Linked DNA regions of Kluyveromyces lactis. The protein of the gene in region 1 interacts with the protein of each later gene in a pairwise test. Links are inferred from orthologs where the notes say so. Each region holds a gene or a part of one and is shown on either strand. Other genes may lie near its edges.

Evidence for each region. The genes of interacting proteins can lie anywhere in the genome.
Region 2: the proteins of MCM6 (region 1) and SPT2 interact in a two-hybrid assay, tested with the Saccharomyces cerevisiae proteins (2 studies listed by BioGRID). The link is inferred for Kluyveromyces lactis from reciprocal best matches to the Saccharomyces cerevisiae genes MCM6 and SPT2.

What each region holds. Positions count from the first base shown.
Region 1 is NC_006042.1:935,025-940,293, reverse strand, and holds MCM6 (MCM DNA helicase complex subunit MCM6), read left to right. Parts: upstream 1-1,664; coding exon 1,665-4,676; downstream 4,677-5,269. Other genes in the region: KLLA0_F10109g (C2H2-type zinc finger protein), read left to right, coding at 1-1,099. UniProt on the Saccharomyces cerevisiae protein: Acts as a component of the MCM2-7 complex (MCM complex) which is the putative replicative helicase essential for 'once per cell cycle' DNA replication initiation and elongation in eukaryotic cells.
Region 2 is NC_006042.1:1,342,298-1,345,909, forward strand, and holds SPT2 (Spt2p), read left to right. Parts: upstream 1-2,000; coding exon 2,001-2,909; downstream 2,910-3,612. Other genes in the region: RAD4 (Rad4p), read left to right, coding at 1-1,770; VTC5 (Vtc5p), read right to left, coding at 3,037-3,612. UniProt on the Saccharomyces cerevisiae protein: Histone chaperone that stabilizes pre-existing histone tetramers and regulates replication-independent histone exchange on chromatin.

The sequences.
Region 1 (5,269 bases):
TCGCCACATCAAGAAACATGCCATAGAAAAGGCATATCATTGTCCCTTCTGGGATGCATCTCTACCTTCTGAGAAACGTTGTCACTCGACAGGTGGCTTCTCCAGAAGAGATTCTTATAAGACCCATTTGAGATCAAGGCATTTCATTTATCCTGATAATGTTAAGAATGTGGACCGTGTGAACTCTCATGGACATTGCGGCCGTTGTAAAAAACACTTTGATTCGACAAATGAATGGATTGAACATCATATTGAAAATCGTGAATGTGAAGCTATTTTGCCAACTTTCAAGGGTAACCTGAAGAAGAGTAAAAAGTGTGGGAAGTTGAAAATGATCATGACCTCTGATGGACAGTCACGTTTCATTTCCAACCAAGCAACTATCAGCGAAGCCAAGGTGCCTATCAGCAACTTCATGCCAGAAAATAGGAAGAAGTTATCGAGTGAGTATTCTAAACCGGCTTCTGCCTCCCCGCCCATCAAACAAACCATATCTGACCTGGCTTTGGATAACACTTTTGCTCTGGCTTCAATACCACTAAACTACAATGGAAATATCAATGGAAATATCAATGAACATAACGACAATCAGAATTACGGTCATTTCGAAAACCAAGTGTATGGCAACGGTGTCCCATCTCTCGCTCCCTCGAACTCTGTCCCCTTCACAGGACAACCACAACTAATACCTCATTCGGGATCTCAAAATACAGCTACTCATTTACGCAAATGTACACAACCATTCGATGAATTCTCCTCATTGAACAAATCACCAGTTGAAGATGCAGCTTTGGACACCGTACGGTCTATCTCATCCCAATCCTCCCATGAACATACTGTTCTCCATAAAGAAATGAACTTCATATCTACCGATCAAAAGTCACAAATAAATCCTGATTGGGAAGTACTCCCCCTCGACATCGAGCAAGCAGGCATGTCTATGGAAGAAGAAGTGAAATTCACGAATAACTCGAATGAACCTAAGATTAATACTACTTTACAAAGACAAATGAATGAGTACGCTCTGGGTGAGAGGCACTTCAGAGAAACTCAGCAATTCATGAACTTTTTCAATTATACTTACAATTACCAAGAATGATTGAATCTTTTTCCATTCGGCTTTTCAGTGGACCTATGTCCACATTAACATTTTCGGTTTATTTTATCTGGTTACATTTTTTTCTTTTCTTTCGATTTTAGATTCATTTTCACTTCACCATTAATGCAACTGACTGTCAGGGGGGCTATTTTATCCCTGGCCAGCTTTCTAAAATCCTCGCGTCCATATACTTATATCGCTTAAATAAGATGAATTCTTACCTACGTATCATTAATTTTTATTATCAATTCACCGATGTTTTATCTTCTCCCTATCGAATCAAAAAGAAAAAATTCCATTAAATTGAACTTTGCTGCATTGGTTATCGATATGTTATGGTCGATAGTCAATGGTTTTCCTCGTGTTATACCTCAGTTAACTAATTTTGGATACTTGCAATACCTCTTTAGGAAAAGTAATATTGAATCGCCTTAACTCAGAAATTAAAAAAATGATTTTACATGTTGAAACACTTAAAACATGATCTTCAATGTGAAGGGCATCCAGGTTGAACGGCTCATCCAAAACCGGACATAGTTGGAGCAAGCTGAAAAAATCAGCAACAATGTCGGCACCATCAAGTCCTTTTCAACATGGTCAGCAATCATCCCAGCCTCCCTCTAGTGTAGGTGCTTATGATAGTTCACAATTCGATGATCAGTCGTTAGGAAACAGAACTCCCCAGTTTCCATCTTCTTCCAGAGGAGTGTCAGATGGAAATAGACATTTCGGTACTGATGACACTAGGCAAGGCATTAATTCAGAATCACAAATAGAGGCTATGGAAAATGATTCACAAGAAATTACTCCATTAGCCGGGATCAGGCAGAAAAACTTGAATGCCATCAAAAAGGTTGATGATAAAACTGGTGAAACTGTAAGAGAGGCATTCGAACATTTCTTGTCAAATTTCACCGCCCTCAATGATGAAACAGGTGAGATGGAGAAGGTTTATAGAGTCCAAATTGAATATATGAGATGGTACGAATTGAATACCATATACGTTGACTATAAACATTTGGCCGAGGTGGAAGACGGAGCTTTAGCGGTTGCTATTTTACAACAGTATTACAGATTTTTGCCATTCCTTTTATCTGGGCTAAGAAATGTGGTGAAGAAGTACGCTCCTGGATTATTATTAACATCTGACTCTGTACTTCCTTCTCAATCTCAAGAGAATTCTCAGGACCGCTCTTCGCAAAGAATAGATTCATCTTTGCCAACTTCGCAGGCTGCCACCGCAGGAGGCACTGCCCCATCTACCATTGCCACTAATCCAGATCAGGTTGAACGTGTTTTGCAAATCAGTTTCCTGAATCTCCCAACTGTCCATAGAATCAGAGATATTAGGGCTAATAAGATTGGTTCTTTAATGGCTATTTCAGGCACAGTCACGAGAACTTCGGAAATTAGACCAGAATTATACAAAGCCAGTTTTACATGCGAATTGTGTCGAGCTGTTATTGACAATGTGGAACAAGTTTTCAAGTACACTGAACCAACCTCTTGTCCAAATCCAACATGTGAGAACCAATCTTTCTGGTCATTAAACGTGAACAGGTCCAAATTCTTGGATTGGCAAAAGGTAAGAATTCAAGAAAATTCCAATGAAATTCCATCCGGTTCTATGCCAAGAACCTTAGATATTATTCTTCGTGGTGACTGTGTCGAAAGAGCTAAACCAGGTGATAGATGTAAATTTATTGGTACTGAAATTGTCGTTCCAGACGTTAGTCAACTTGGTTTGCCTGGTGTTAAAGCAAGTTCGACTCCAGATTCTAGAGGTATCTCACGGACAACGGAAGGATTGAACTCAGGTATTTCTGGGCTCAAATCATTAGGTGTTAGAGATTTAACTTACAAAATATCGTTTTTGGCATGCCATGTTGAAAATGTTGGTACCAGTTTCAATGGTAGTAGGATTAATGAGGAGGACGCCGATAAGACATCCAAATTTGATTATATTAACTTGAGAAACTATCAAAACTATGAAATGGCGGCAGAAACTGATCAAGAAATTTTCCTAACAAGGCTTGATTCTGACGAAATTAATGAATTAAAAGAGATGGTGAAAGATGAGAATATTTATGACAAACTGGTGAAATCGATTGCACCAGCAGTTTTCGGGCATGAAACCATTAAGAAAGGTATCCTTTTACAAATGCTTAGCGGTGTTCATAAAACTACTGTAGAAGGCATTAAATTGAGAGGTGACATTAATATTTGTATCGTTGGTGATCCGTCCACCTCAAAATCTCAATTCCTAAAATACGTCTGTAACTTCTCTCCAAGAGCCGTTTATACTTCCGGTAAAGCATCTTCAGCGGCTGGTTTGACTGCAGCTGTGGTGAAAGATGAAGAAGGTGGTGATTTCACTATTGAAGCTGGTGCGTTAATGTTGGCAGATAATGGTGTTTGTTGTATCGACGAATTTGACAAGATGGATATCGCAGATCAAGTTGCTATTCATGAAGCCATGGAACAGCAAACCATTTCGATTGCCAAAGCTGGTATTCATGCAACATTAAATGCCAGAACTTCAATTTTGGCTGCCGCTAATCCCGTCGGCGGTAGGTACAATAGGAAACTGACTTTAAGATCTAATTTGAACATGTCTGCACCAATTATGTCCAGATTCGATTTATTCTTTGTCATTCTTGATGATTGCAATGAGAAGATCGATACTGAGCTAGCTTCCCACATCGTAGACTTGCACATGAAGAGGGACTCTGCTATTAATCCACCATTCTCAGCAGAACAATTGAGTCGTTATATCAACTATGCCAAGACTTTCAAGCCGGTAATGACTAAAGAAGCTCGTGACTACCTAGTCAAAAGATATACAGAACTAAGGAAAGACGATGCGCAGGGGTACAGTAAATCTTCGTACCGTATAACTGTCAGACAACTGGAATCATTAATCAGATTAAGTGAAGCTATTGCTCGTGCTAATTGCGTGGATGAAATTGTTCCGAGCTTTGTCGCTGAGGCGTACGATTTGTTGAGACAGAGTATCATCCGTGTTGATGTTGATGACGTTGAAATTGAAGATGACGATAACTCCCCAGAAGAAAGTACGGAGGGTGAGGGCACAATACCTGCCACACAACACTTCGGCGAAACACTTGATACACAATCTCAGTCACCTTCTCAACCACTGAACGCCGACTCCGAAACGGGGGGTGGTCCTGACGTAGAGTCTCATGACAACGCTCATCACACAACACATAAAGTCGCAATATCATATGATAAATACGTGGAAATGATGAATCTAATTGTACGGAAAGTGGTTGACAGAGAAAAGAATGAAGAACCTGAAATGACAAAAACTGAGATAGTAGATTGGTATTTACAACAGAAAGAAAACGACATCAACACCGAAGCAGAATATTGGCAAGAAAGGAAATTGGCATTCAAAGTCATCAAAAGATTGGTAAAGGACAGGGTCTTGATGCAAATACATGGTCAAAACGACGATCTATCTGCCGATGTCGAATCCTCAAATGCCAAGACAGTGTATGTGATACATCCGAACTGTAGTGTTCTAGATGAAATCACCCCTAACCCACCTCAATGAAAACTTACTAACTAGACTAATTCAACTAAATTGACCATTTGCACTATCTTTGAAATTTGTAACCATAAATAGATATTTCACTTAATTCACATTTACATCTCTACTTTCACATTCACTTTCACATCTGTGCCTTGCTTGAATTCTCAAGAGAACGCCGATCACGTTGCAAACTACGCTAATTGTATAAGAGAAACCAGTTCACCTTTTGACGAGGAATGTCACTCTTCGTCACGTTGTAACCATAAGCAATTATCCCGTCGCCCCTTAAGCTTTGTAATTAACGTACAAAACTACATTTTCTGAAAGCGTGGGGAAACAATAGAGAACATATTGCATTAAGAGGCCGGAATAAAAGGTTTAGTACGGAGATTAACATGTGCATAGAGGATTTTCGTTCTAACTTTTAAACGATGGAACATAGATCAAGTAACATAGTAATTGGACCTCATAACTTGACAACAGGGATAAACTATATTACTTGATATCACTTGTCGCACATGGATTCAACAATCGGTCTCTGATAGATTAAGGGTTGCGTCTTTGTCTGTATTCGAAAACGAATTAAATGTAGTTATAGGTAAATAGTTAGTTAT
Region 2 (3,612 bases), about 410 kb from region 1:
GATGAGATGCCATTAAGAAGTACCCGGAAGTTGCTCGATGCATTACGTATGTTGATGAAACATTGGAACAAAAAGTTCAAATTAGAACTAACTTCACCGTACGAATTCAATCATTTATATATGGTTCATTGGGATTCGGTGTTGAAGCACAAGTGTGAAAGTGTCACATTCAAAACATTCAAAAAGTTTTTCACAAGGATGCGTGGACCAGCCAATATTAGTGTGCAGGGTTTTGTCACCATGCTGAGAGGTTGTGGATTGAACGCAAGACTCATTCATAGCCTTCAACCACCCGATTTCACTGATAGTAAGATCTACAATAAGCGAGTTGTTTGGAGCTTGGAAAATGAATGCCTAAAGTATCCGATATTTTGGTGCGAAGTATGGGATAAATTTGCGAAACAATGGATCACTATCGATATCGTTGGTCAAGAAATAATTGAACAAGTGCGTTATAAATCAAAACTAGAACCAATAGGTCGTATAAATTCAGCCTTCAATATGATGCGATATGTCATCGCTTTCGATAGAAAACAAGGCTGCAAAGATGTATCTCGGAGATACATAGCACATTTACAAAATAAAGTTCGAAAAAAGAGGATTACAAGAGAAGCTAAACTGAACGAATGGTTTAACAGCATTATAAAGTTTTTGAATAAACGTAATAGGAACAGGATTGATGATTATGAGGATGAATATTTTGATTTGCGTAATGAACACGAGGGAATCCCAGACAGCCTACAAGACATTAAGAATCATCCGTTCTACGTCTTAGAGAAAGATTTGAGAGCAAACCAGGTATTGAAACCGGGTGCTCAGCAGTGCGGCTTCCTTCGACTTCGTAATAAATCAAACTCCCTTCTCAAAGTTTTTCCAAGGAAAGATGTAATATCTTGTTACAGTGCTAGGCACTGGTACATGCAAGGAAGAGCATTGAAGTCGGGTGCCAAGCATCTTTTGACACACAAAATAAAGAATCCTGTCGAAGAAGACGAAGATGAAGAGAGGCTTTACCCCATTGGTCAGACTGAGTATGTTATTCCTAAGCAAGTGGATGCTGATGGTAAAATCCCTACTAATTTCTACGGTAATATTGACATTTATAAACCATGGATGATTCCAATAGGGTGTTGTCTCGTAGAAAATCCAAACTCGATTAAAGCTGCAAGCTTCTTACGTGTTCCATTTGCAAAAGCAGTGACGGGTTTCAAGTTCGAATCGGGACGAAGAGTTAAACCTAAGGTCACCGGCGTTGTTGTCGAGAATGAATACGTCGACGCATTGGTTGCTGTAATAGAAAATATCGAAGAATGTAACGATGATGCAGCTAGACATGAATTAGAGCTTGAGGCTTTGAACGGCTGGTCACTCCTTCTTACCAAACTCAGGATCAAAAGTAGATTGGTTGAAGAACATGGTGCGGTGGCAGATGAAGACGGCAGAGATTACTCTGGTGAAAGAGATAGCGATCTAGAAGATCACGAATCATATACGGGAGAAGACACAGAAATGGGCGGTTTCGAACAAGGTGGGTTCCTTCTTGATTCTAATATGGATGGTGGATTCGTGCCTGAACCAGAATTACAACATGCAGAATCTGAAACAGAACAAGTTGAACATCCACCTGTGACCTATGGTGAAGCAACTCTAGACCGCGCTGAACCAAGTAACACGGAGCCAAACGAAATCGCTGATGAGTTCGAACAGTTCTTGCAAGAAGTTGGATCGCAATCGGATGACGATGATTCATTTCAATATGAATCAGAATAAATCTCAAGATCACGTGAACTATTAGTGTAGCGTATCTAATGACTATGTAATAATATGGAAACAATACATAACATAAAATAAGCATCATGATGGAAGTTGATGTACCAGTGGATCAAAAGCAATCATCGCACAAGACTGTATTGTTAACCGCTGCTACGGTGCAGTGAGTATACATTAATCGATATTCTATCTACCAGTACTCCTGCTCTCTTCAAAGATATAGCAAAATAATGAGCTTCTTGGCTAAGTTACAGCAGTTGAAGCAGACCACTAAGATTAATGAACCGAATCATTCCGCAAACCAAAATAAAGCTAAATCTCTTCAATCTGAAGAAAAACTACTTCCCAAGGATTACGTTCGTGAAGTTGACCCGGCTATTCAAAGATTAAAGGAAGCGCGTAGGTTGAAGCAAGGTATATCATCCACATCGACTAAACCTGCTGCTAAGGCCAGGCATAAAGCGTCATCGCCGAAGGATGAGGCTCCAATTTATAAGAAAAAACCTGGTGTCAATACCACAAGCGGAAAGTATCCTGTCGTGGTACCGAAAAGGGAGCCAATCAAGAAACTATCGTTTGATGAATTAATGAAGCGAGCAGAGCAGAAGTCTAGGGAAGGACCAAAGGAAGACAAGAAGCCGCTCCCGAAGAAACTCGGATTTGATAAAGCCGCTAAACCAAAGGCGGCAACGAAAGATGCTAAACCTGTAAAAGAACCGAAGTCGAAAGTGATGGTAAAGTCTTTCAACCGTTTTGCACAACCAAACGAAAAGCTTGCGAAGAAGTTAAAACTTAAAGAAAAGAAACAAATTATGGCAAGACACGGAGATCAACATTATGACAGTGAGAATGACGAAGATCTCTCAGACTTTATTGAAGATGATGATTTAGACGAGTGTGAACAAGGCTCCAAATCACAACCGTACGATAGAGATGAAATTTGGTCTATCTTCAACAAAGGTAGTAAAAGGAAATACTTTGATTCAGATGATGACGACGATATGGAAGCTAACGAAATGGAGATCTTTGAAGAAGAGGAAAGAGCTACAAAAATGGCGAAGCTTGAAGATAAGAGGGAGCAAGCTTGGTTAAAGGAACACGAAAAAAGGAAAAAGAAACTGAAGAAAAGCCATTCATAAACATGTCAATGTACGAATTGAATATATCATTTATTCATCTAATATACAATTAATTAATGCATTAGTTGAAATCATAGATCCAAATGAAATCAACATTTTGAAGTTTGTGTACTATTATAAAATTGCTTTACAATATCAACTCTATAAATCCATAACATACTGCAAAGATTATGATAATGAAGATCACAACACCAGTAATATAATGCCAAGTAGGTGCAAACGTGAATCTTGAAAACATTAATAACAAAGACCATGCACCGAGAATTAAGGATATGGATAATGATATGAATATCATCGTCAAAATAGAAGTTTCGTTTTCTAGTTGTGTATCATCGTTGAGTGATTTGAACAAAGATGTCATGATACCAATGGTTACGCCTGTAGTCAAACAGGATATTAGCAATGAAGAAACATAGAAGAAAGATATCACCTGGTCATGCTCGAACTCATATATTGATTCTGAATTTTGTTCTTCGAGTTCCCAAAACTTATTCACGTCGTTTCTTTCCGAAGAAGAAGAAGTAAGTATGGAAGTGTCAGTGTCTATTGAGTTGTAGGACTTACCTGCATCTCTTAATAAAGATTTCCTAGCTTGGACGTCGTCAATTATACCGAATGCAATTTGGAACTTCGATAAGAGATGATAGATGGCAATTATGAATGATGGGTTAAATCTGATGAGACCAGTATCGTGTGTGTATTC